Linked DNA regions of Drosophila melanogaster. The protein of the gene in region 2 interacts with the protein of the main gene of each other region in a biochemical or structural test. Each region holds a gene or a part of one and is shown on either strand. Other genes may lie near its edges. The genes, in order: dpr13, DIP-epsilon, dpr18 and dpr19.

What was found.
Region 1: the proteins of DIP-epsilon (region 2) and dpr13 form a complex in vitro, tested with the Drosophila melanogaster proteins (one study listed by BioGRID).
Region 3: the proteins of DIP-epsilon (region 2) and dpr18 form a complex in vitro, tested with the Drosophila melanogaster proteins (one study listed by BioGRID).
Region 4: the proteins of DIP-epsilon (region 2) and dpr19 form a complex in vitro, tested with the Drosophila melanogaster proteins (one study listed by BioGRID).

What each region holds. Positions count from the first base shown.
Region 1 is NT_033778.4:18,004,888-18,009,574, reverse strand, and holds the start of dpr13 (defective proboscis extension response 13), read left to right. Parts: upstream 1-1,672; 5' UTR 1,673-2,426; coding exon 2,427-2,541; intron 2,542-3,579; exon of another isoform or gene 3,580-4,180; intron 4,181-4,687.
Region 2 is NT_033779.5:6,408,322-6,413,305, reverse strand, and holds the start of DIP-epsilon (Dpr-interacting protein epsilon), read left to right. Parts: upstream 1-1,979; 5' UTR 1,980-2,479; intron 2,480-4,745; 5' UTR 4,746-4,922; coding exon 4,923-4,984. Other genes in the region: CG13982 (uncharacterized protein), read right to left, coding at 1-125, 448-602.
Region 3 is NC_004354.4:16,062,051-16,069,755, reverse strand, and holds the start of dpr18 (defective proboscis extension response 18), read right to left. Parts: upstream 6,019-7,705; 5' UTR 5,938-6,018; intron 5,876-5,937; 5' UTR 5,647-5,875; intron 4,355-5,646; 5' UTR 4,205-4,354; coding exon 4,057-4,204; intron 3,390-4,056; coding exon 2,949-3,389; intron 2,133-2,948; coding exon 1,957-2,132; intron 1,042-1,956; coding exon 828-1,041; intron 766-827; coding exon 441-765; intron 384-440; coding exon 259-383; intron 193-258; coding exon 62-192; 3' UTR 1-61. Other genes in the region: CG12395 (uncharacterized protein), read left to right, coding at 6,982-7,705.
Region 4 is NT_033779.5:10,374,183-10,380,431, reverse strand, and holds dpr19 (defective proboscis extension response 19), read right to left. Parts: upstream 4,265-6,249; 5' UTR 3,879-4,264; exon of another isoform or gene 3,548-3,878; intron 3,185-3,547; 5' UTR 3,111-3,184; coding exon 3,044-3,110; intron 2,636-3,043; coding exon 2,490-2,635; intron 2,422-2,489; coding exon 2,211-2,421; intron 2,145-2,210; coding exon 2,033-2,144; intron 1,942-2,032; coding exon 1,568-1,941; intron 1,510-1,567; coding exon 1,262-1,509; 3' UTR 527-1,261; downstream 1-526. Other genes in the region: gny (garnysstan), read right to left, coding at 1-283; CG33303 (uncharacterized protein), read left to right, coding at 4,699-5,284, 5,341-6,131.

The DNA.
Region 1 (4,687 bases), on a different chromosome or scaffold from region 2:
CAGAAATCGCCGGCCATTTATACGGATACTGGGATACTGGGATACTAGGAAACTGGGCGGCCAGGGAGATTGAGTGTGGGTCAGTGTGCCAGATATCGAGTGGAACGGGGAAGGGCAGGGGAATTAACATACACGACTAGATGTTTGCGGGTCAGGTTTTCATTGCCTGATATATGGTTATGATTTTCCAACGGCAATTTGGCCAGAAGCTGCGACTATTTGTCTTCTTGGGTATTAAATTTGGATGGGCAGCAGAACATCGAACTCATTAAGTGAAATATTAGAGAGGCGTTCGATTTTAATTATTCAAAAGATCGCAAAGAGCTATGTGAAAGGAATTTAATGCATGAAAATTATTTAAAATAAAAATGAACGAGATCTGTATTCTTATTAAACAGTGGTCCATTGCATTTGACTTGACTAATATATCTGAAGCATGAAACTCAGGAATTTAATCTGCAAGACACTTTCCCGCGTTTTAGCTCAGCATTTCCCCGGTTTTCCTTGTTAGCCAAAGAATTCAAGCGGAATGTGACATTGCAGCTGGGCAGATGGCGCCTTCGACGCGAAAATGCTTTCACAGCCTGACAAGGTCTAAAGCGTGTTAGCCATTTATTAGTTCGGATTTCTGGCTAGCCCCAAAGTATGCAACCGACTTCTGCGAGCCCAAACGTGGCCAAAAAAAAAAAACCATGAGCTGGCTGAAATGGAAAGTTAAGTTCGCCCAGCTGAGGGCCCACAACTTGGTACCAACTAATTTCAGCACAATAACCCAAATTGAAGCGGTTTGCTGATGCTTTGTTTGCACCCGATTAGAGCCGAGACGCGTGACGAAGGTGCTTTCGTCACTCGGCGAAATGGCTGCACAAAATGAGAGAGCGATGAAAGCAGGAAGGAGAGAGAGAGTCCAACTATGCGCACAAACAACAAGGAGAAAGATAGAGAGAGGACCGGAAGTAGTGAGTTTGCGATAAATGTTTGCTATAAAAATCGTACCAGCTGTTCACTGAAGATTGACAATCCTAGAAGCTGTTTGAAAACAAATTAAAATTTCAATATATGCACTAAAAAAATTTAGTTTTTTTTGGCATAAAAAAATTTAGTGTCGGTATATGTAAAACTGTTAAGTTGAGCCTTGTTTAGGCAAATTAAGGATACCTAAAAGTTGAATGTGTTGTTAGCCCTAAATCATCTAATCATACACAATTAAATGAAATGGTAATCAAAAATATGGCAAGGATTTAAACCAAATTTAATGATATATGAAACATAATAACCTTTTAGCTTTTACCTCTTTTCTTTAAGTTGATATAATAAGGTTAGCTGCATTAGTTGCAATGTAATATATGTGTTAATAGAACAAGTGCTTAATAACAAAAAAAAAAAACTATAGTATTGATTGCCTTAAACGGAATAGTTGATATAAATTGAAAGGACTGGGTTTCGGTTTCAAAGGACCAATTAAGCAAACATTTCACGCGAACGCAAGATGCTATAAAACTTGAGAGTTTCCCCAAAAGGAAAATGAGAGAGGCAAGTCGAGAGAGAAAGAGAGAGCCAAGCGCACGAAGTTCGTGCAGACTTTTCCGCTGCTGCTGCTGCTGCTGCTGCCACTGCCACTGGTGATGGTGTTGCTACTGGTGTTGCCTGCTTTTCCTTGGGTCCTCGTGTCAGTCGCGTGCGAAAGCGTAAAGTAAACAGACAGGCGGCTAAAGCGGCAGAAGGAAAAGCAGCGAAGCGCTGGAAAAGCAGGAAAAAGCAGCAGCCGTGCAACCGAGGGCCAAACAACAACACCAGCGGCTGGCAGGCGAATTCCCACGCTGCTGCTCAGTCAGTTGAACTTTGACCACGGCGGTAACGGGTTCGGTGCGGTGCAGTGTAGTTTCGGTGCGGTCAACGCGGCGTATGCGCAACGTACATGCAACGTGAGCGCTTTTTTTGCGAAACTATAAATGATGAATTCCAAATGTGCTGGCATATGGCTGCCACGTGCCCCCAGCTAAAATGTGACTAAAGGATTACAAAAAAAAAAAAACGAGCAAGTCAAACAAAAAGCGAAAATGAAACAATGCAAAAAAACGCTTAATTAAAATATGGAAAGTTAATTGCAAATGGCGCTTAGCAATGTGGTCACATCAAATGGGCATAAATCAACGCAGAAAGTGCATTTAATTAGGCTTAATATAAAGAAAACATCAAATAACCGAAAAGTGTGGGCCTAAAAAAATAAACAACAATTAGAGCAGGGGAAAAAACGTTTTAATTAATGCAATGTCATCCAATTGAAATGCAAGTGCAGTGACAAATGAAATCAAATTAAAGCTCTGATAAATTGAATCACAAATGCAAAACAATTGACAGCTACAACAACAAGCGGAAAATAAGTGCAACATCCTCAGCGACACACAGCAACACAAAGCAACAAAATGCCGGCATCAAGTGGATTATATCGCATCAAAAATGGCCGTGTCCTTGACAGGCTGCAAAAACCAGCGGCACTCATTTTTATAATAGCATATATTGCGGCATGCGGCATTTGCGGTAAATATCACACACAGACATTATGACTTTTCACTAAAACTAAAAATCAAATAAAATCCCACATAAAAGCGAGGCGTAGAAATTACAGAAAAATAATGACGCATTTAATACTTTTTCATTTATTTATGCCGTTGATTTTTCAATTTGCATTCCGCTTATTCTGTACTGTTCACCGAACACGATTTAATTCAATTAGCGTCGCTGTAATGCATGAAATATTGTCAAAAGACAAATTGGCGAAATATGAAATTAAATGTGGCAAATATCACGGACGAGCCGCAACAAAGGCCACGAGATTGCCCAAGTCGAGAAATCGTTAATTTGTAACATTTCATTGCCGATGTCGAGTGCAGTGACAGGTCAGGCGATGAGCGCGGAAATCACCTGTGCATCACCTGTCAATGGCTGACACCGCAACAACGGCAATCAGGGGATTCCCCTGCGCCAAACGGCAACAGCAACACTTGTCTCTACAACTGAGCTCACTGAAAGCTGCCCCCTGTCGCCATTTCTCTCCATCTCTTTCGCGCCCTGCATCGCTATCTCTCTCTCTCTCTCTCTCTCTGTGTCTGACTGACTGGCTGACTGGCAATTTGTCAAGCAATCAACAAAGCCAGAAATTGCCCGGCAATAAGACAGAGCGAAAGCGGCAGAACGCCAGTTTGTCCAATCGGGAAAATGTGAATGCGAATAAACCTATTGAACACGCCAAAAGTGGTATAGAATATGCACTGCGATAAAAATATGACACCAGGAACTATCATAATCATCTCTAGTTGCATTAGGTATATTATGTTTCTAAACTATGATTTTTATGCAGGTGTAATCCTTTTGACAATCTCTTTATTCCCTTTTCAAGCTTTACGCATTTTAAACAAAATATCTTTATGAATATTTAAAAATATACATATAATAAATAACATATAGTCAATCGTTATATATAATAATTTAAATTATATTTTTAATATGCAAAAGCTGACTATGTATTCTCAAGAACTATTAGTTCTTAACTTACTTAAATAGTTACAATATACAAAAAATGTGCCTCTTATAATGTTTATAAATTGCTAGTTTATTTGTAAATAATGTTTATTTCTCGAATGCTTGAACGCAACATAAAATTTGGTCTTCAATTTAAGCGATTTTTCTCGCAGTGATTGGTACTCGACTCCAAGGAATACCGATATGTGGAACTAGTACACTGCTTGTGCCACATTTTGTGCGTGCCCCGCGTCGATGGGGGGAGAGGGTGTCCGTAAAGTCGTTGCTAAATAACAACAACAATGGCATAAAAAAGTGCCACGTCTTCACACACATTTGCACGCGCACACACACAGTGGGGCCCTGGGGCAACGCACACACACCGCAGCAACTGCGAGTGCTACTGGCGACTATCTAGCGCATCCATTGTTGCATGCCACACACCAACACAGGCCTTTTGGGCCACACACTCCTGTCGCTGTCGTTGTCGTTGTCACTGTCAATGCTGTAATGAAAAATGCACAAACACAAAAACGAAATACGAAAAAAACAAACAGAATCCAAAACTGCAACTGAAAATAGAAATAAACAGAGGCCGAAATAAATATATTCAGAATGCACGCCAGCTTAGGGCGATGAGTAAAAAAAAATAAAATAGACAAGCAATTTCAGCTGCGCCTGCCGCTTTTTATTTGGACCGCATTAATATTTAGCCAGCCACATGAACGTGCCTAGATATACATTAAGGCTCATATAAATCAATATTTATGCCAGCGGTGCATGTCTGTGGATCGAGCCATGGGATTTTTGAAGGCCAGCGGGGTCGCAGCAAATGCATTACTAGTCGCTGCACCCAAATCCGCAGCTCAATGCATCCAAATATTTGCATAATGTAACCAAAAAATATAAAAAAAAAATATATTTCTCCACTGCACTGCAGGCTATATGCTAAGCAGGGCGACCATGTCACTTTGGGGGCCAAAAATGTGCAGCTACCCATTCCCCATTTGAATGTTTTGGTTGTGAACATCGATATAAACATGGAAAAGATCGAGCGTTGCTAAAAAGCAAAACGACCAAAATATATGTAAATACTCTGTACAAATATTCACTTATTCAATTATTCACAATGCTTAACAAGCGGTTTGTATGACATCCCGTGTTG
Region 2 (4,984 bases):
ACTGCTGCCTTTTCTTGAGCCGCAGGATGCGGTAGATGAATCCGTTCCGTTGGCAGCGCTGCCTGGTGGTCCTCGATAAGAGATCTGCCTCTGGATCTTGTCTTCCTGCAGATCTGTTCTTTCGCCTAGAAGATGAAAGATACCACTTTTTATTAAAGATGTTTTTAATAATTATTATAAAGTAAAAGCTTTTGTTAACTCTTAAAGAATATCACATATAACTAGTATTTACTGTTTACGTATTTGGTTGCAGTAAGCACCCACTTGGGCGGGAAGCCCGCCTGTGGCACATTGTTTTGTGGCAACCAGCGGCCGTTGCATAGTTTTAGGCTGTTGACCCCCAACTAGCCAATTCCACCCCGTGCTTAGCCACTATTGATTGGTCAGCGGATTTGCGCGCGAACGAAAGTCAGCGGAGTTGAGCTTCAACTAATTGGCCCCACTCACCAGAGCCAGCTGTTGGCCACCCAGGACGTGGGGGGAGTTGTCAGTGAAGACGACGTCGAGGAAGTCGAGTGGGTGGTGGAGTCGGACGTTGAGGTGCAGGCGGAGTGGGCTGGTGCGGCGGCAGCTGTGGCACAGCTGCCAAGGCATGAACCCATGGAGAAGGGGCTGCTCCTGTCGCTGCTACAAGATCCTTGCTGGCTTCGATGCGGCTGCACTTGGCATTTCACGTCACTTTTTCGCCAGCCAGGCGCCACATTTCATTACGCTCGGGTCAAGGCTCCGCGGTGATGGCCCCTTCCCGTGGGCTTTCCGATTACCCTTTTGGACTCCGGAGCCCCTTTCAACGCAACTCCACACACTCCGCGGCACAGAGCGTAACTGTTTTTCATGCGCCGAGTGCGTCGACGTCAGTGAGTGACGGTGACGCCCCCACGCTTTCTTGGCTAAATGCTCCGTAAGCCTAGTGACGGAGTTTCTGTTTGGCCCTGCAGCAGTTGGGTGGTGGGTGGTGGCCACCTTTTGAGAGTCAGCTGTTTCGACTGAGTGTTGTGGCTTTCGCGTTTTGCGCTGTCAAGTGGCTAAAGTCAACAGGAGAGCAAAGCGTCTTGTGACAGGAGCTTTCGTCACTACTTAAAGCTTAGACGGACGCTCAAAGTTAATAAATTCACGGCACGGAGCGCTTTCGACTAGCAGTAGCTTTATCAGGGGTAATAACGGGAAATGTTAGGGTATTGCAGGACCGACATGATGAAGCTTTGCTTGGGGTGTAAAATGGGAAATGTTAAGGCTTGTAGGACCAAATTGTGTGAGCTTTGTTAGGGGTTATAAAGGGAAATGTAGAGCAAAGAAACCAAGTTCTTTTATAAATTTCTCTTTAATGAAGTTTGTATTGCAGCATCCTCTTCTTAAGATAGCGATGTTAACAGCAAGCTAAAGAAGTCTTGCCTTTTGAACTCTGACATTTATGGTCACAGAACTTGGAAATGCGTTTGCAGTCCCTAGCTGTAAATGTGTTAAAGTGCTAAGCTATTATTCCATTATGCCCGCTCAAAGACCAAGTAACAAATGTTCAATGATTAGCGAAGATGAAAAACATGTTTTCACTGTAAGACAGATGAGGGAGTTTTGAGGGATAACTCAAAAATGCTTACACAAGTGATACGCCCTGCTCTATTATGTTCAGAAAGAAATAATACGTTTCTTTATTTAGCTCACATATGCACATACTAATACTGGAAATTCTGCGACCTTTGGCTTTTCTCACATTTTTTCTCTCACATGATGAACATAAAATTTAACCCGCCGCATTAGCTGACGGAACGGATAGTGGAGTGGTGCATTAAAACACTCGGCGGATCGTTGGATTGATTGTTCGCTGTTTTCGGGGCTGTTAGTAGCAGAAAGTGCTGTTTGGCTCTGCAGCCAGGGCTATAAACATATGTAAGCTAACATAAATCACGGCCAACCGCAACATTTGTTTATCTTTTTAACATGCCGCAGCCGAAGTGAATCGCACGACGGGATGCTGCTGCCAGTGTGAAATCGGCTGTCGTTTCGTTCGGTTGTCGTTAGTCTGCGGTACCGCATCCGCATCAGTATTCGCAGTCGCAGTCGCAATCGCTTTTGAATCCCGAACCCGAATCGGTAACGGTATCAGAACCAGAATCGGTTTCGTTAGACGTGCGTGGACGTGGTCTTTCTTATTTGCACTGGCCAAATAGTTTAAAATAGTATTTTCGATTGGCATTAGTGGCGGCGAATGGTTGTTGTAAATCAACTGCTGTGAGTGCTTTTATTCGATATCCCATGCCATTTATGCACCTCCGCTGCCCACCGGAGGAGCTGCTGGCTTTGTGACGGCGTCTGTGTGTCTGCCGCGTGGTCCCCTAATTTAGTTATGTTGCAAAAACGGAGAACGGCAGAGGGAAACATGAAAATCCGTTGTTATGTTGTCTCGCTGCTCTATTTATAAATTGATTTGCTGATTCCTGCCGACATCTGACGCCCCATCCAGCAGCCAGACATTGCCACGGTGAGTTATTAGTTTCTGGAAGCAGGGCGACATCGGATGGAGGAGAACGAAGTTGCAGATGGGGCATCATTGAATAGTGAGTTCGCAGGATGGCCTGTTTAGGGAGCTGCATCTTTTACAAAGGATCCTTCCGAATTGGTTTACATCTGCTGGGAGAAGCTGTGCAGGCAATTGATTGCACTTTGAATGTTTCATTAGCCGGCTTTCAAAATAATGCGAATTGTATGCAAATCTAACTTCAAATTTAATTTTCTTTTTGTTTCATTTATGAAACTAAGTACTAAATGCGTAGCAAATTATTATTATTATTTACATGGCCAATGGCATCCTCGTAAAGACCAATATCTACTTGTTTAAATTAAACCATCCTCTGTCTTTATTTCCAACTTAAATTGTGCGTTTCCAGTTCCCGCGGCACAGTCTGACTCAGATATTTATATATCTTCCTGACGGCCGTCTACGTGGTGGCAATGTGCACCGAAGTGCAAAAGCCGGCTACTATATATGTAAACAAACGTGCAGAAATCTGCAATGATTGTCCGATCGAAAAGATTAATATACCGTGGAATGAAATCGTTTTAAGAGGTAATACGAATTTACGATGCGCTGTTTGCGGTTAGTGTGAAATTGAAGTTTTATGTTCACTTCAGTAATAAATAAACACAATCGTCATTAAAAAGTTAGCTCTAAAGATCGAATCCTTTGGGTGACACAAGCACTTGGTTGAATTCCCTGTGCTGTGGAAAAGAAAAGAAATAATAATTATAATTAAATAATTAATTTCATTTTGATTGATTGATTCGGTTCGGTGTGATTATAGTGCAGAAAGGAAGCACTCCTTTCTCATGCTATACGTACTTTTACCCGAAGAATACGATAGAAGATTTCTGCGCCACGGGCTTGTTGCTATTATTCGTTATTCATTTTTGCGTGTGAAAGGAAATGTAAATTGATTTATTATGCAAAAGCGAGTAAATGCTCCCTAGGAGACGGAAAGACAGAGCAGAAGTCAGACCGGCGGAGCATTCACCGCTGGCTCCTTTTCATCATGCGGCTACATCACTTCGAAGATGTGGGAAATATCCTTTCTGTCTGCGGGGCACAAACATTGCTGTTTACAATGATTTAAATGCATTACGAATTCACGGTCCATTTACATTTCGCGGTTAGTTCTATGGATGCAACAATCGTCGTCGCGTGAAAATACACCAGACAATACATTTTGGTGTACCAAACTATCACGTATTTATGTCATTCATACAATAATACATATATTTTTGACCATCAGTTGGTTGCTTATCAATCAGGTGAACTTTGGGTCATTAACGCTTAAATCTAAAAAACACATTTTATAAGAAACAAAATTGAATCTTATAAGATGTCAATGGTTCACTAAAATCTTCCTCAGCATAACGTTCAAAATCTTTGTTTAGATATCACAACCAAAATGAATGTTAAGTCGGCCGGCTTAGAAATCAATTAAGTTTGCAATTCGGTTTCAATAACCCTTACTTAATGGAAAATCCACAACAGCTGTCCCCAAGGAGGCATTCTAATTGAAATGCATTCATATTGCAATAGAATGAAGAAATTGACGAGACTGGAAGGACCTCCATGGGTTTACTTGACTGCCGTAGCCGGAGTGTAAAACAACAGCTGACAGAGCAAATTGCTTTTCGCTTATGACACGAGCAGGAATTAAAAACAAGGAAAAAATTCTTCTATGCATGCATGCAGCAAAACAACCACGAAAAGGAAGCTGATAATTCTGATGGTGACGATAACGTTGTCCCTGGCATTTGAACGGATTTGAGGTCGTTCGGAGACTTAGGGTTCGTCACTGCTCTGATATCTTCCTAATGCTGATCCTCTTTATTGAAAACTCCTTAATCCGTGAAAAAGATGCAAGCCAGGTGTGGGTCTGGTTAAAATGGCTCATAAAAATCTTAAGCATAAAAAATGGTGTGTCCGCTCGTCTGTCCGTATGTATGATATACAAAATCTCTTCAACTATTATAAATTTGAAAGCTTAGATTAAAGTTTATAAGATATGATTAAGTACGGTTGTAATCAATAAGCCGTGTAAAGGGTATGGGATAGCCGTGTAACACGAAAACAGGTCTCATTCCTTGCGGTAAATGGAAAATTGAGCAATGACAAATTAAATGTACACTTAAGCCTAAAAGCATGAAGCCATGTATAATTTCTTTTTTTTATTAATATTTTCATCAATAATGGCAACCTATAATTTCTCCTCATATTTCAGGGGTAGCGTGCATAAAAGCCAATCGCAATTAAACGTTGATCGATTCCAAAAGCAAACACAACATGAGCCGGAATATACTGTAATGCTGCACAATATTTGTACGCAATAAATAATTAAGTTTTCTTAATTGAAAAGCTAAACAACGGTAAAAAAAAGGGGCATCAAACTTACAGCAAAATGGCATACCACCTCGAAGCGATTTCTTCGTTTCTGTATGTGGGCCTTGGTTGCCTGATTGC
Region 3 (7,705 bases), on a different chromosome or scaffold from region 2:
AATTGTTTGTGAAAATCGAATGGCTATGGGGTTTTCCGCAGTCCCTTCTCAGATTAAAGCCTCAGAAATGTCGATTTTCGGTTTTCAGGCAAGTGAAGAGGAAAATGAGTACAAGGAGATGACCCAACATCGCAAGGGAATAGATTTCGGTTCTTGAACCAATATTGTGCTGAACAGCTGCGGGTAGTTCGCCTGTAAAGATATATATAACATATCAGGGAAATGATTTTCACGAAACTTCAATCACTAATTAATTACCTGTGAGCACTTGAACTTGGACAATTACGGTGAACAGTCTGCCAAGGGAACAGGAATAGTTGCCACTATCGGATAGTTTGGCATCTCCAATGGAGATACGACTGGTTAGCCAAACATCGGAAACGCTGCAATACACAGGACACAGTATATAGGAATTCCGACTTGCATCGTTTGTAATCTACCTTAAGCGCCTATTGGTCATTCCTTGCAGTGGTTCTTCGTCCTTTGCCCAGGTTATAAACTTGGTGAAGTATTTCTCCAGATCCTGGCCAGAGAACTTGTGTTGCGTCTGATTTACGTTGCCAATTAGATTAAGCTCACTAGTCGTCTCATTGATTAGTTTCTGTACAGCATCGTTTGCAGAATCGGTTGATTTTAGAATGGTCTGACGTTCTTTTTGGAAAAAGCTACGCGATATTTGGCATTGTAGATCGACGGTGCTTCCAGACTTATAATAACGATCCCCCACGTCCCTCTCGTGCTCATCGATTATCCTCAGGGGGGGTTCTGAAAGCGGAAAACTTGCCATGTAGGATTCGTTATAAGGTTAGAATTGGTGGTATCCATACCCAAGACAGTGAGATTTGTGGTGAATACCCGGGGGGGATGGGTGGAAACCTGGCACATGTAAACTCCGGCATCTTCAGTCTGCGTGGGATTGATAAGTAATCGCCAATTGTTCGGGTACTGGAACTTCACCCGAATTCTCGGGTCTCCACTGTAGGTCACGTTGCCAACGGTCAGGAGCGATACCTTCTCTGCCGTTCGCCTGACCCACATGACCTGGAAGTTGGAAATTCAAAATCTTATTTAAAGTAACCGCAAGATTGGGCATATATGTACATATGTATGTTCGTACATATGATAAGTAAAAGAAAATAGTCGAAACGGTAAAACACGTTACACATTTATCTCTCTCAAAGCGCTCTCTCACGACTATCGGTTTAACAAAAACAAACGGGAGGATCGAATTATGAGAATAGCTGAAAAGAAAATAGGCTCTCTCATCGGCTTCTTCTTATTCTCTCTCATTTCATTGTCATATTTTGCGAGCATCGGTAAAGAAAATGGCTGCCGCGAAACAATTAAATTAAATCAGTTTTTGTACATTTCGTTGCTCCTAAAAGTGCCAACAATTAGGTAAAATGATAATAAGTGAGTACTTGCAGGCCTGTGTAATGAGTATGTAATAAATATAATATTTATGGTTAAATGGGCAAATTTTTGTGCGTTTATTGGTTTACCGATATTGCACACACACACATCCGTAAAAAAGTACTCATACACAAATGAGTTTCAATGCAATGGTGGTGGCGGTGGGTGTTTTTTGTTGCCATATGCATACATACATACATTGTATGTTTGATGTAAACATATTAAGAAAGGCAATCAAATTGAATAGTAACTAAATTATATTTATTCAAAAAAGGGGTTTAATGGCTTAAAAACTTGCTTTTTGTTTTGTCTTATAAAGTAAAACAGTAAATAAAGTAAATAAAATCCGTGAACACATAGGTAGTGAGAGCTAATTTATTTCCAATTATTTCGGTTGTTTCATCATTTGTGAAATCAATTAACTGTGCAGAACAATAGATATTTATTTACGTGCATGTATGCATGTATATGTATGTATGGGTATGTACGTACGAAGGTATGTACATATGAATCTGCGTACATATCAAAATGGCGTTCACTTACAGTTTTATCCTTGAGCATACCGACACGGCAATTGAGCACCGCTTCCGTAAACAAATGTACGGCGGAAACGAGGTTGTCACCCGAGGTTGCCGAGTTGATGGGCTCCTCAAAAAAGGGTCCCCAGTGGTGCTCGTGGTGGTGCTTGCTACGTGGTCGTTCTGTGACACGTGCGAATCCTGCCAAGATTTAAAAAAGTTTCCGAAAAATTAAATCGAAATTAAGAATATACATATATACTACATACATACATATGTATGTATGCACGTAGTACACGTAGGGGTTGCCGCATTCATTTTGAAGAATGTCATATATACATATGTATGTATTTATGTACATCCGTTCGTTTTCTTTGAAGATGCCTCATTTTATATTTTAAACCACCTTTTTCCAACGGTAACAATCATTATTTATAATCACCAATTTAAAAATATTTATCTTTTAATTTCCTCGTTTTTTAAGGTAAAAAATCCAAAAAATTACGCATTTTTAAAAATTTAAAATTAAATTAGAAGTTATGACATTCCATATTATTATTATTATTTTCAATGTTTTGATCAGAAAAAGTGTAGCGAAAATCTGGAAAATACTTTATGCAAGAATTCGATATTTCCGTGATTTATTTTAATCCGTATTCGGCTTAAATTTATTATACAGCTAATGAAACAACTGTGTTATGCAGGTTTTTAGCCATGCCAAAACATAATACTGTTTGCCGGATTTAGAAAAAAATTTCGGAAAATTTATCAAAATTACCAAAAAAAAGTCAAAAAATTTAATTTTTAAACTTGAATGCCAGTCGATTTGAAATTTCATAACGAGTCTGACGTGTTATGGCAATCCATGTTTAGACATTTATTAATTTTGTTTCGATCAAATGGCTGTTGCCAAAAATGCAATATTTACGATGAAAACTTTGCTAAAAACTTTCATACACGTACTTTTGTACAATTGCTATATGCTGTTCTGCATAATACCAAAGCTATCCCACTTACCACTTGCTGTCCAATGATTCCTCGTGCGTGTGGAATCAATTGGCTGTTTCATGGTACTTCTGTCGACTTTTAGGGATGCGAATGCTGTGGTGGGCATGGTCACAGTCGTCAGCTGATCAGTTGTCCCTACATTTTTGATTGGAAGGCTATTGCTGCTAAACTCCATGCTGCCCGGTGTCTCCATGGGTATTTTACCCCGACTCATTTTCGTGGGAATGGGGCTGTGCGGAGCGTTAGACGCCTCGATTGGCATTTGGGAATGGTCCTCGTCCTGATCCTGCGATGAAAACGCGTAAAGGGTTGCCCTTGTGGCTGACAGGTAATCAGCAGTTGATAATGTCGATTTAGTTTTATTATAGTCATCAAAAAGTAATGAACGATTCTCGCCGTTTCTGGATTGTTCACTTGCGGAGGGGGATTTTGTTTCGACGGATGTCGTGTCTGAATTGAAAAGGTGAAGAATGCAAGAAAAAATATATTTAAACAAGAGCTCAGCTCCTCAGAAATATCTAACCATTTTTAAATTACCCCATTGGCTTTATTCAAATATGCTATATTCATGGGCTTAGGACTAATTACAACCTTGGTTACGTTGTTAAATAGGTAAAAATATAGTAGGGTTGGTAGAAATAAAGGTCCTAACTATATACTGAATAATATTAAATTCGTACTCTGTAGTTATAGACGTAAATCTGTAGTATTATTTTTAAGCCACAACTTTTTACAAAGTTTTATTCGTTGGATGCCCAAGACTTTATGGTATAGTTTCTTATTTTCTTTTTTCCATTTAACTTAACACACATATTTTCAATATTTGCTTCCCATGACAAAATATTTCAGATTTTACTAGCCGCAAATGAATGAAAAGTGTATTATATACCCAGTTTTCTACCAAATTGTCCGAATTAGAAAGTTTGATGTTTAAATATCCGTTGTAAGTTTCTAAGAAAACCCGGTCCATTAAGAATAATTGAACTTCCCCTAACTGATGCTACCTTGATAAGTAAAGAGCACAAAACATGGGAAAAGGAGTCATAACAAAGGCTTCGGGGTTATTTAAATGCTGTTTTGCAAACAAAGTTAAGGGAAACTTAAGGGCTACACTTACATAGAACTTGAACTTGCGATCCAATCACCAGAGCAATTGTGAGCAGCCGAAGAAGGCTCAGACTGGTTTGTGAATTGTAGGAGAGTGGTAGCGTCTGGGCAGCGTTCGATGCTGGTGATAGTGTCCTATATCCTTTCGGAAGCCTCATCCTTTGCACGGGGCGACGTGACTTACGGAATGTGCTCGAGAGAAATCAGTAACCTTCATCTTAGTTCCGAGAAAACTCAGCTGCTTTCTGGCACTGAATCTTGTCGATGGCTCAGCGTATATTTCCCTCTTTTCTTTACCATTTAAATTACTGCAAGAGAACGTAGTAAAGTATTCAAGGAAAATCATTTGCTCAAGAGTTTCTACCCACAAGGATGCTGATGCATATCAAGAATAAGTGAATTAATTGCAGGGAAAATGATTTCTTTGTTCTTACTCTTACAACTATTATAATAAATGCAAACAAATTACTTTGAACTTTGGTTTGTCTGCAGTGTTTTATGTTAGTCATTTAAAAGTTTGGGAAAAAGTGACCTAATGCTTGAGCTTCGGGACACAACACTTGATACATTTATATGTACAAAAATCTGCTCTCACATTTTTATGTCACTACTATTTTTTTATTTCTTTTCTTGTGTTGGTTTTGCCAAGTGGCCGATGGATAACAAAAAAGCACTTATGTATAAGCCCAATAAACTAACCAAAACATCTTAAAGCCTGATACTCTATGTTCATTTTTATTAAAGCGCAGTAAAAATTGAAGATATTGTGAATCTGTGTGACCCAGTTTAATGGGGCAGGCTATAGATTTTGCTTAGAAGGTTATGAGGGGGACGTTAAAGGCTCTCGAACAATGGTTTGATCAGCGCATCTCTAGGCCCATGGGACTGAACTATTCAAATAATGGAGGAGGACTGACTATTAATTCTTGGCTCAAGGCATGCAAAACAAAACAAATACAATAACGAAAAAATGCGCCGTGCGACACGACCCGGTTTTAGTATGAAGTATGAATAATTTTTAAAATTTTTAAGCTTTTTAAAATTGCTGGCCATGAAAAGCGCATATGTGTTTGGCTTGTGGAATTTGGAATTTAAAATAACGTAAAACAAAATATTATTGTGAAACAAAAACGAACTTAAAGGTGTTGAAAAATGAATTTGTTTTGCGGTGGATATTATATTTTGTCAATTATAAAAAAACGATTCAATATATTTGGTAGCAGACCAGTGAGTAGCGTGGAATTTGCTTTTTGGGACACTTGCCAGCGGCATTTTTTCTTATTTCGTTTTGAGTTCGTCTCCTCTACCATAATCTAAGCTTCCTGTCTATACACCCATCGAAAATGATATATCTGTGGCAGCAAGATTAATATTTTTTTTTTTGCCCATGGCGGATTCATTCATTTATAAAAAGCTAACGAAACGTAATAGTCTCATTTTTCGAATACTAGTTGGAACTTCACAAATTTATATTAAATTAAATTATTTATATTATTTGATTAACTTTTTACTGGAATTTTTGATTAAGCTCAGCAGTTAATTGGTCCCTTAAATATTCATGCAGTTTGACAGCCGTTTTTTCTATCCCTATTTCACTTACCATGTGCAGCGATGTGTTGTGTTGTCTACCATTCAAGATACCTGATTGGAATTGCGGCGATTAGTAAATCCCTTGCTCTGTTGGCACAAGTCACATTTGTACAAAAAAAATACACTGGCACATTGAGTTAGCAACAACAACAACAAAAAAAATGCACAAAAAAATATTACTTTATCCAGGCATACAGAAGTTTATACTTGATTTTATTATTAACACATTTGTGTACACACTGAAAAAAAGATAATTTACTCAAACTATGTTATAAAGACGGTAGGAAATACGCAGATGTACTTTGGTGCGTTATATTCACATGCGCTCTATCCGGCGAGCACGTAGGTATCGCTTATCCTTGAAAACCGTAATGAACTGTCGTTGGCAAAAACTTTGGACTCCATTCCAAGCGTTCAAATGAAAAGCCGAACACAAATGAGCGAAAGCTTGTCTGCACACTCGAATCCAGTGAGTGAGTCACTCAAAGGGGATTTCTGTTGAGTCCATACGGATACTCAACACTGCTCGGGACATCTCCCCTAGTTGGGGAAAGAAAGGTCTGTCCCAAAGCTTTCACCAGGGATTTTATTGAAGTTGGGAAATTCATGAGCTGGTAGCGAAAGTTGGTTCCTAAGTGAATGAATCGATTTTTCAGTAGTTAATTATTTTAAATACCAATCAACAAAGGTTTTTTTTATCTTAATTTCTTTTTATTTGATATGAATATAATTAACATGGTAGAATTTTTTAACTATAAGCTATACAAGTAAATCGCATTTAAATCGTAATATACTTTACATAAACTTTTCTACATTACATTTTACAGTGCTTACAAATAGCAAACTTGTGTTCTTGAACGCGATTTGCTGTTATACATTAATTGTATTAGTATAACATCGGTAAGTAGTATAACAGATAACTGATGATCTAAATTATAAGATACAATAATACGTGTATACTGAAAAGTATTATACTCCAGTGCAGTGTAGGCCAAAAAGTAGGGATTGAATCTACGGTGTTGTCGGCAAACAAATCATACAGAAACTTATAAATACGAAAGCATAGAAGACTTTGAATGGGAATTTTCCAAGACTCAAAATAAGAATAAAAGGGGTATTAATAATGCCCCAATATAATAGCTTTTACCGTACTATCCCATATTTAAGATTCCTACCCAAAGGATGCTTTGGATTTGCACTCACTGTAGTTGAATCTTTTAGCCGATTCAGACTCAAACTCAGACACATCGGATATTTTAATATGTGTATACCCACACAACAATAAAGCCGAGACCATATTTACAAATTGATTTTGCTATTGCATATCATATCATTATCACCAAGGATGCATATCGTGAGTGGCAAGAATCTGAGCCGCGAAGAGTTAGAGGAAGTTAACAAATGGATGCAACAAAATAGTATTAGCACTCAAAGATTGCGTCGCGAGTTTTCCGATGTTTTGCCGCTGGCCGAAATATTCAAACGCGATTATCCGCGCTTGGTGGATCTCTTCAATTATCCGAAGAAGAGTAGTGTTCAGCTGAAGTTGGCCAATTGGGAGACATTCAACTTTAAAGTGTTATCCAAGTTAAATATGACGTTGACTAAAGATTTTATGGAGCAAATGGCGAATGGTGTTAGTGGTGCCGCCGAAGTCATGTTGCATGAAGTGATACGATTGGAGAAACGACAACGCCTTGCAGAACAACGAAATGCGGCATTGCGGCAGGAACAACTTTGGGAGGAAAATGATGAGATAAAAACTGTTGTGGTTAACAAACAGATCGGCGATGGCATAGTTCAGGTGCCGCAGAAAATGATCCTATATTCGCTGTACGAGAAAGTGGAACGTGATAGTCATGCAAAAGATGTTATTATCGATGCCTATCAACAGCGATTGACCCACATGGAGAGTATTATTAAATTGAAAACGGAACGGATCGACGAACTTCTAATGCAGATGGGTAAACAACCTCAAAAGAGAGCTACTAGCAACGCAACCAATTGTTTCTTTGCTTACGATGGAAAGAACTCCCTAATTCAGAAGCATATAAGTCCTACGCAAGCAT
Region 4 (6,249 bases), 4.0 Mb from region 2:
GCTCGACGAAGCGGGGGTCAATGGATGCTCCTATGCGACCCACCAAATAGCTGTGGTAGGCCGTCAGAGGCGGATAATCCAGGCCCCAGTACTGAAGATCGTTGTTGGAGCTGTTTGTGTACCATTCCCCCACTGCCAGATTGACCGTGATCTCTTGCCAGTGGCGCTGGGCCTCGTAGTCGCCATGCATCGGCGGGGAATCGAAGCCGGAGTAGGAGTACAGCGAGATAATCGACCTAACCGCCAGGCCCAAAAAGGCGCTTGCCAAAATTTCGGATCTCATCTTTTTGTTTTGCCAACATTTTTCAGCGATGGTAGTTCAGCTATGTAGAATTATCGATAACTTGTGTCAAATACAACGACAAGCTAAGATTGCACCTCACGGAACTGCGGTATATGAAACAGAAATCGGAAGGGGGTCTTACATTTGAAAATGAGTTCAAAAATATTCATAACATTTTCGTATTCATTTTTTAAATGTGTACCACCCAACTGAAGAGCAAATAACTTAACCAGAAGCGGGTTTCTTAAAATTGATCTGTTTATTTAAAACGTTCTTATGTCGGCAACAAAATTTAAAAGTCGTTTTGCACTCCGTATTCGAGGGTAAACAAAACGAAACTGGCACTTCTGCCCATTTTGGATTGAAGACAGCGCTTTTGAAAACGCTCACGGAAGTAATATTTATTTACAGTTGTACATACAGTATATGAATTAGCATACTTCTAAAGGTGCTTACATAAATCAATCTATATACTAAATATCGAACACTGAGCAGAATAACAGTTTAAAGGTGACGATCAAATTTTCCGAGTTATTAGGTAACAAATCTGTATGGCTTTATCATTATCATTTTACGCTAATTCCATTGTTTGTAACATTAAAATGTCAGTACCAGTACCAGTCAATAAATATGAACATCTAAGCATACATTATATCTTACGTACCACTATGAACCATCAAAATATGCGGTTTTCAATCCCCCATGACTTATTGGCATAGGTATGCATTTTATAAGTTTTGTGGTAACAAGTTCGTGAATTCTCATCTTATTTCTCAATTCAATACATTGCATGTAATGGAAGTCTATTTACAGTTTATTCTTAGATTACTTTAAATGTCTTACCATGCCCACGCCGGCATCTCAATATGGTATGTCAATGATCTATTTACAATCTTCTATTTTAAAACAAATATTCTCAAATATAATATCCTCGAATGATTGAAGTTGCTCCATTCCAAATACCATCGATTATAAGTTTCAGCTATGCATAGTGACTATTATAAATGCTACGAATACCTTGTGAGTTGCCGCCAACGAGAATCGATCGAATACCACCGCGCCCATCAGCAGGAACAGCCCAGAGAAGTAGAGGATTCCCCCGGCCAGAGTTACGCCGCTAGTTCCATTCAGTCCACCCAATGTGATCAATCCGAAGGTGCCGTTGCCGTTGGTCTCCGTATCCAAAATGCTCCGATTGGCGTGCTGCATGGCCGCCGTTTTCTCACCTATTATAATTACAATGAGTATGACATATATTTAAATATCGACCGGCGGCGGTCTTACCCCTTAGAACATGCACTGTAATGCTGGCAGGACGGGCATTTGATGGAGCACATGTATAGTTGCCGGCATGACGGAAATTGACTTGCTTCACAGTAAGCACACTGACCGAGGGATTCAGGAGATAGGCGGATTGATGCTGTTGCGTCATATAGGGCGTGGAGGAGGGCACATTGGCGGCCGGTGCCTTGATAGCATCCGAGCTGCCCAGCAGGCTGTTGAGCACCCCATTGCTGGACTCCATGGGCATGGTGGCGCGCGATTTGTTCGCCGGCGAGCTACGGTAAAACTGGCCACTCTGCGGATTGCTTTGCCCAATCGATGTCACAACGAAGCCGCCTTGTGAGTCGTAATTGATCATTTTACTATCATGGTACCTAAATTGAAGAAATTGCATTCGGTTAAGTTGGGTCTTATGTTTAGAATAATATAAAATTTTACAAATCTAACTCATATTATTTTTCATACCAAAAAACAAATGCAGGATTCTCGGTAGCTCGCTTCAGTTTGCATTCGAGTCGCAGAGTAGAAGTCTCATCAATATGCAATTCCGGTGCACTAGAAATCTCAGCTACCGCTTCTATACAACGAAAAGATTCAATACCCGTTAAGCTTTGAACTTTGTAAGGCAGCTGCGTCCACTTACCGACAATCTTTAATTCTATAACTATTGACTGAGTTGGATAAATAGACAATTGACACTCGTAAAAACCGCGATCTTCCTCCCGAACTGCCTTAATTCTCAGGGACCAGTGGCCCATGTGCCGCGTGTGCTCCACCAAGAATCGCTTGTCACTACTGTGGGTGGATAGGCCCACTGTCAGGAGCTGGAAGTCCTTTCTACGTATCCAGGAAACCTGAAATGTTGCAAAAGGTCTAAGTATTAGAATCGATGTATAAATTTTAAGAAAAACATATATCTCACCGTGGCTGGGGAGTTAACTTTGACCACACAGGGCAGAATGGCAAGTCCTCCCTTTTGTGCAATAACTCGAGTGTTGTTCTTCGTATTAAATTGACTTTGTAAGGTGTTACCAAAATGATTTTGAGACGAAGTGATCTTCCCGACATCTGAAATGGTTGTTCAATGAATATTAAACAAAATCTCTTAATATAAATGTGTCAAAAATCACATGAAATGAATGAATCCAAAGTGATTTGCGGTGAAATGTTAAAAAAAAAAAACTTAAAAATGTAAAATGTAAAAATGAAACTTAAAAATGTATCTTTTATCTATGCCTTCATAGCTTTCGTTTTCATAGCTTTCGTTTTATTTTTAATTACTTTTGCATAGAAATAAAATTTTTCGTTCACTAATTTCTCTTGGTATTTAATATTTTTTTTTATTTACCTTCAAAAGCAATCAAAATAAAGTAAAAACGCAATCGAAGGTTTTCGCTTCCAATTTATAGCATACAACTTAGCGCAAAAGTGATAAAAATCGTTTAACGATTCATAAAGTTGGCGACCTTTGCTTACCAGAAAAAGTTGAACTAAGGAGTAGCAAAAAACATGATAAATGCAAGTGCCATCTTTTCGGTTCCATTATTTCCGAATTCGAGGCTCCGCGGATCGTATACTTTTCTAATTCAACTTTATACCCGCAGCAACATTGTCCTCCTGCAACGAACTTCAGTTTATGAGTACATTTGTATTTATGTATGTATGTATGTCCAATGTGTATTTCTAAAAATATTTGTGGCAACAACGATGCACCGTGGAGTATGTATGTATGTTTTATAGCTCGCAGATACAAGATATTTATATGTATGGGTCACGCAAACAACTTGAAACTTGTATCATGTTTTTTCTTTTTTGGGATAATCTTGACTTAAGTGGAGGAATTCAATTTCTTTCTTCACTAATATTTTATGCACAGAAAAAAAACACATGTCACGGATACAAACATACATATATGCATACAGATATATGTATATATTTTGGAGGAAATGCATACACAGAAATTGATGGAGGAAAACTCACTTTTTTCCCGTTTTTCTGCTCTTTTTGCACTGACTGCTCGGCAAATCCTTACGCGTACATACACATTTCGCCTCTAATTGTTTATGCAATCATAAAGCATTCGTATGACTATTTCATAGCTACATATTTTCGAGAATACAGATACAGATACACAGGTGAAAGATGTATAAATTGTATGTATTGACCGTCAGAAGTGCAGATTTCTCACTGCATTTTCGTTATATTTTCACACACGCGGCCTCTGTGTGTGCGGGTGTGTGTATGTGCGTGCGGGTGTGTGTGTGTGTGTGTGTGTTTAGAGAAAATGGCACAATTCTGGATTCGAATTTACTTGGTTGGAGCCAAGAGTCCGCAGTTCACACCCCGGCGAATACAACTTCGTTTTCGAAGTGCCAATCGTCGACTAAATTGAAGTCGGCAAAAAGCCCCATCCGTATAACTCACGCAATCGCATTATGTGGGGTCTCTTCTCTCCGGATTGCATTGCATATGCGTGTTTAAGCCAACTCGACTCGCCAATCGAAGGGATGATGACAGGAATTATTTAATATTATTCATATTTACTGCTGGGCGGCATAATGAATGGCATAGAGAATCGCATGAGTCGCACAAAAGTGGCGTAACAACGGCGTGTATTCTTGTTCTAAGGGTAATAGATAACGAACTTTGGTGGGGTGCTTTCCAAAATTAGTTTTATTCTGCTGCCAATCGATTGAAATGGCGCCCAGTCAGCTGACTGCTATCAGCCAAAAGTTAGGTTAGGTCAGTACTTGATAAGTGCTTCGCTAACAAGATAATATAATAATATAATGTAATATAACAATGAGAATCGTTAAAACACAACAAAAATTATGTATGCTATAAAACATGCATGCAGAACTTAAAATATATCAATAATATTTTATAAATGATTATTATATATTTTGTGCTTAAATTGATGCAAAATAAGCTTTATTTAGAAGTGCTATTATTTTGGTTACTGCCCTTTATATATTTTTTCTGTTATAAGAATAAAAATTAAAATATTTATGGAATACCCCTGATAATTCTGCGCAGTGGCTGGTAAAAGTACGAATGCGTGACACGGTCACGCTGAGCCGCTTTGCCGGCTGAATGGTCTTAAATATGCCCTAACGCTTCGAGATTTTCCAATGTACGTGTCCAAATTTGAGGCGAGCATGGCTACGAATTTTGTTATTTATCTGGCGCTTGGGGCACTCCTCTGCCTGGCCACTGCCAACGGGGAAATAGTGAACACAAATGTGGAGCGAACGCTGGACCTAACATCGCAGCTGGTAAAGACGACCACCAAGATCTCGGCGGAAGATTCGGCCGGCAAGCCGATTGTGGAATACGTGTTTTTCACATCGGAGCCCAGTTTGGCGTACATTGACGTAAAAGATGCTAGCGACAAGAGTGTGCCATTCAAGCGGAATGAGCCCGTGAAGGGGGAGCAGAGCTTCACGTTCACCTTCCCCAGGGCCGCCGCCAAGCAGACGTTCATCGTCGAGACCGTGGCCTCTAAGGGCATCCGCCCACATCCGGAGGAGATACGGCAGAACGACAAGCAGTTCGTGAAATATACGGGCAATCTGCACCTCTATTCCAAGTACAGGACCAACAGCCAGAAGACCAATGTCAAGCTCAGCTCCTCGAACATCTTGTCGCACACCCAGGTCAAACCCTTTTCGGTGTCCTCCAACAAGATCACCCTGGGACCCTACGAAAACGTAGAGGGTAAGTAATAGCTGCCTAGCAGAAACCGTCTGTTCTAACGCTTTCGATTCGTGCAGCCTTCAGCCAGGAGCCACTAGTCATCCACTATGAGAACTCCGCACCATTCGTCACCGTCAATACGCTGGAACGCACGCTGGAGATATCGCATTGGGGCAACATTGCCGTCCAGGAGTCTATTCAGATGACGCACACCGGGGCCAAGCTGAAGGGCTCGTTCTCGCGCTACGATTTCCAGAAGGAAGGACGCTCCGGACTGGCGGCCCTCAAGTCGTACAAGACCTACCTGCCAGCATCCGCATCTGGTGTCTATTACCGCGACACCAATGGCAACATTTCCACCTCCAACATGAACGCCGTGCGCGACTTCATCGAGCTGGAGCTGCGTCCGCGCTTCCCGCTCTTCGGCGGCTGGAAAACGCAATACACTCTGGGCTACAATGTGCCCTCGTACGAGTACATGTTCAACGATGGCAACAAGTACCAGCTGAAGATGCACCTCATCGATCACATCTACGACAATATGGCCATCGATGAGGCCACCATCAAGATTATTCTGCCTGAGGGATCCAGTGACATTAGGCTGTCCACGCCCTACTCCATCAGCCGATTGCCCAATGAGCTGGTGCACACCTATCTGGATACCATTGGTCGCCCGGTGGTCTCGTTCTCCAAATCCAATTTGGTCGAAAGCCACATTTCGGACTTTACGCTCCACTACAGCTTCTCGAAGACTTCTATGCTGCAGGAACCCCTGCTGGTCAGCGGCTTTATTTATATCATCTTCTTGTTCACCATCGTCTTCTTGCGTTTGGACTTTTCGATCACATCCCATGCGCATAAGGAATAAGTAAATCTTTAGATTTCCTCTAAATTTAGTCACTCATCAGATTGTAAAAGATCAAAATGAAACAAAACTACTATTTTGCAAATAACAAACGAAAATAAATAAAAGCTTGCACTTGATG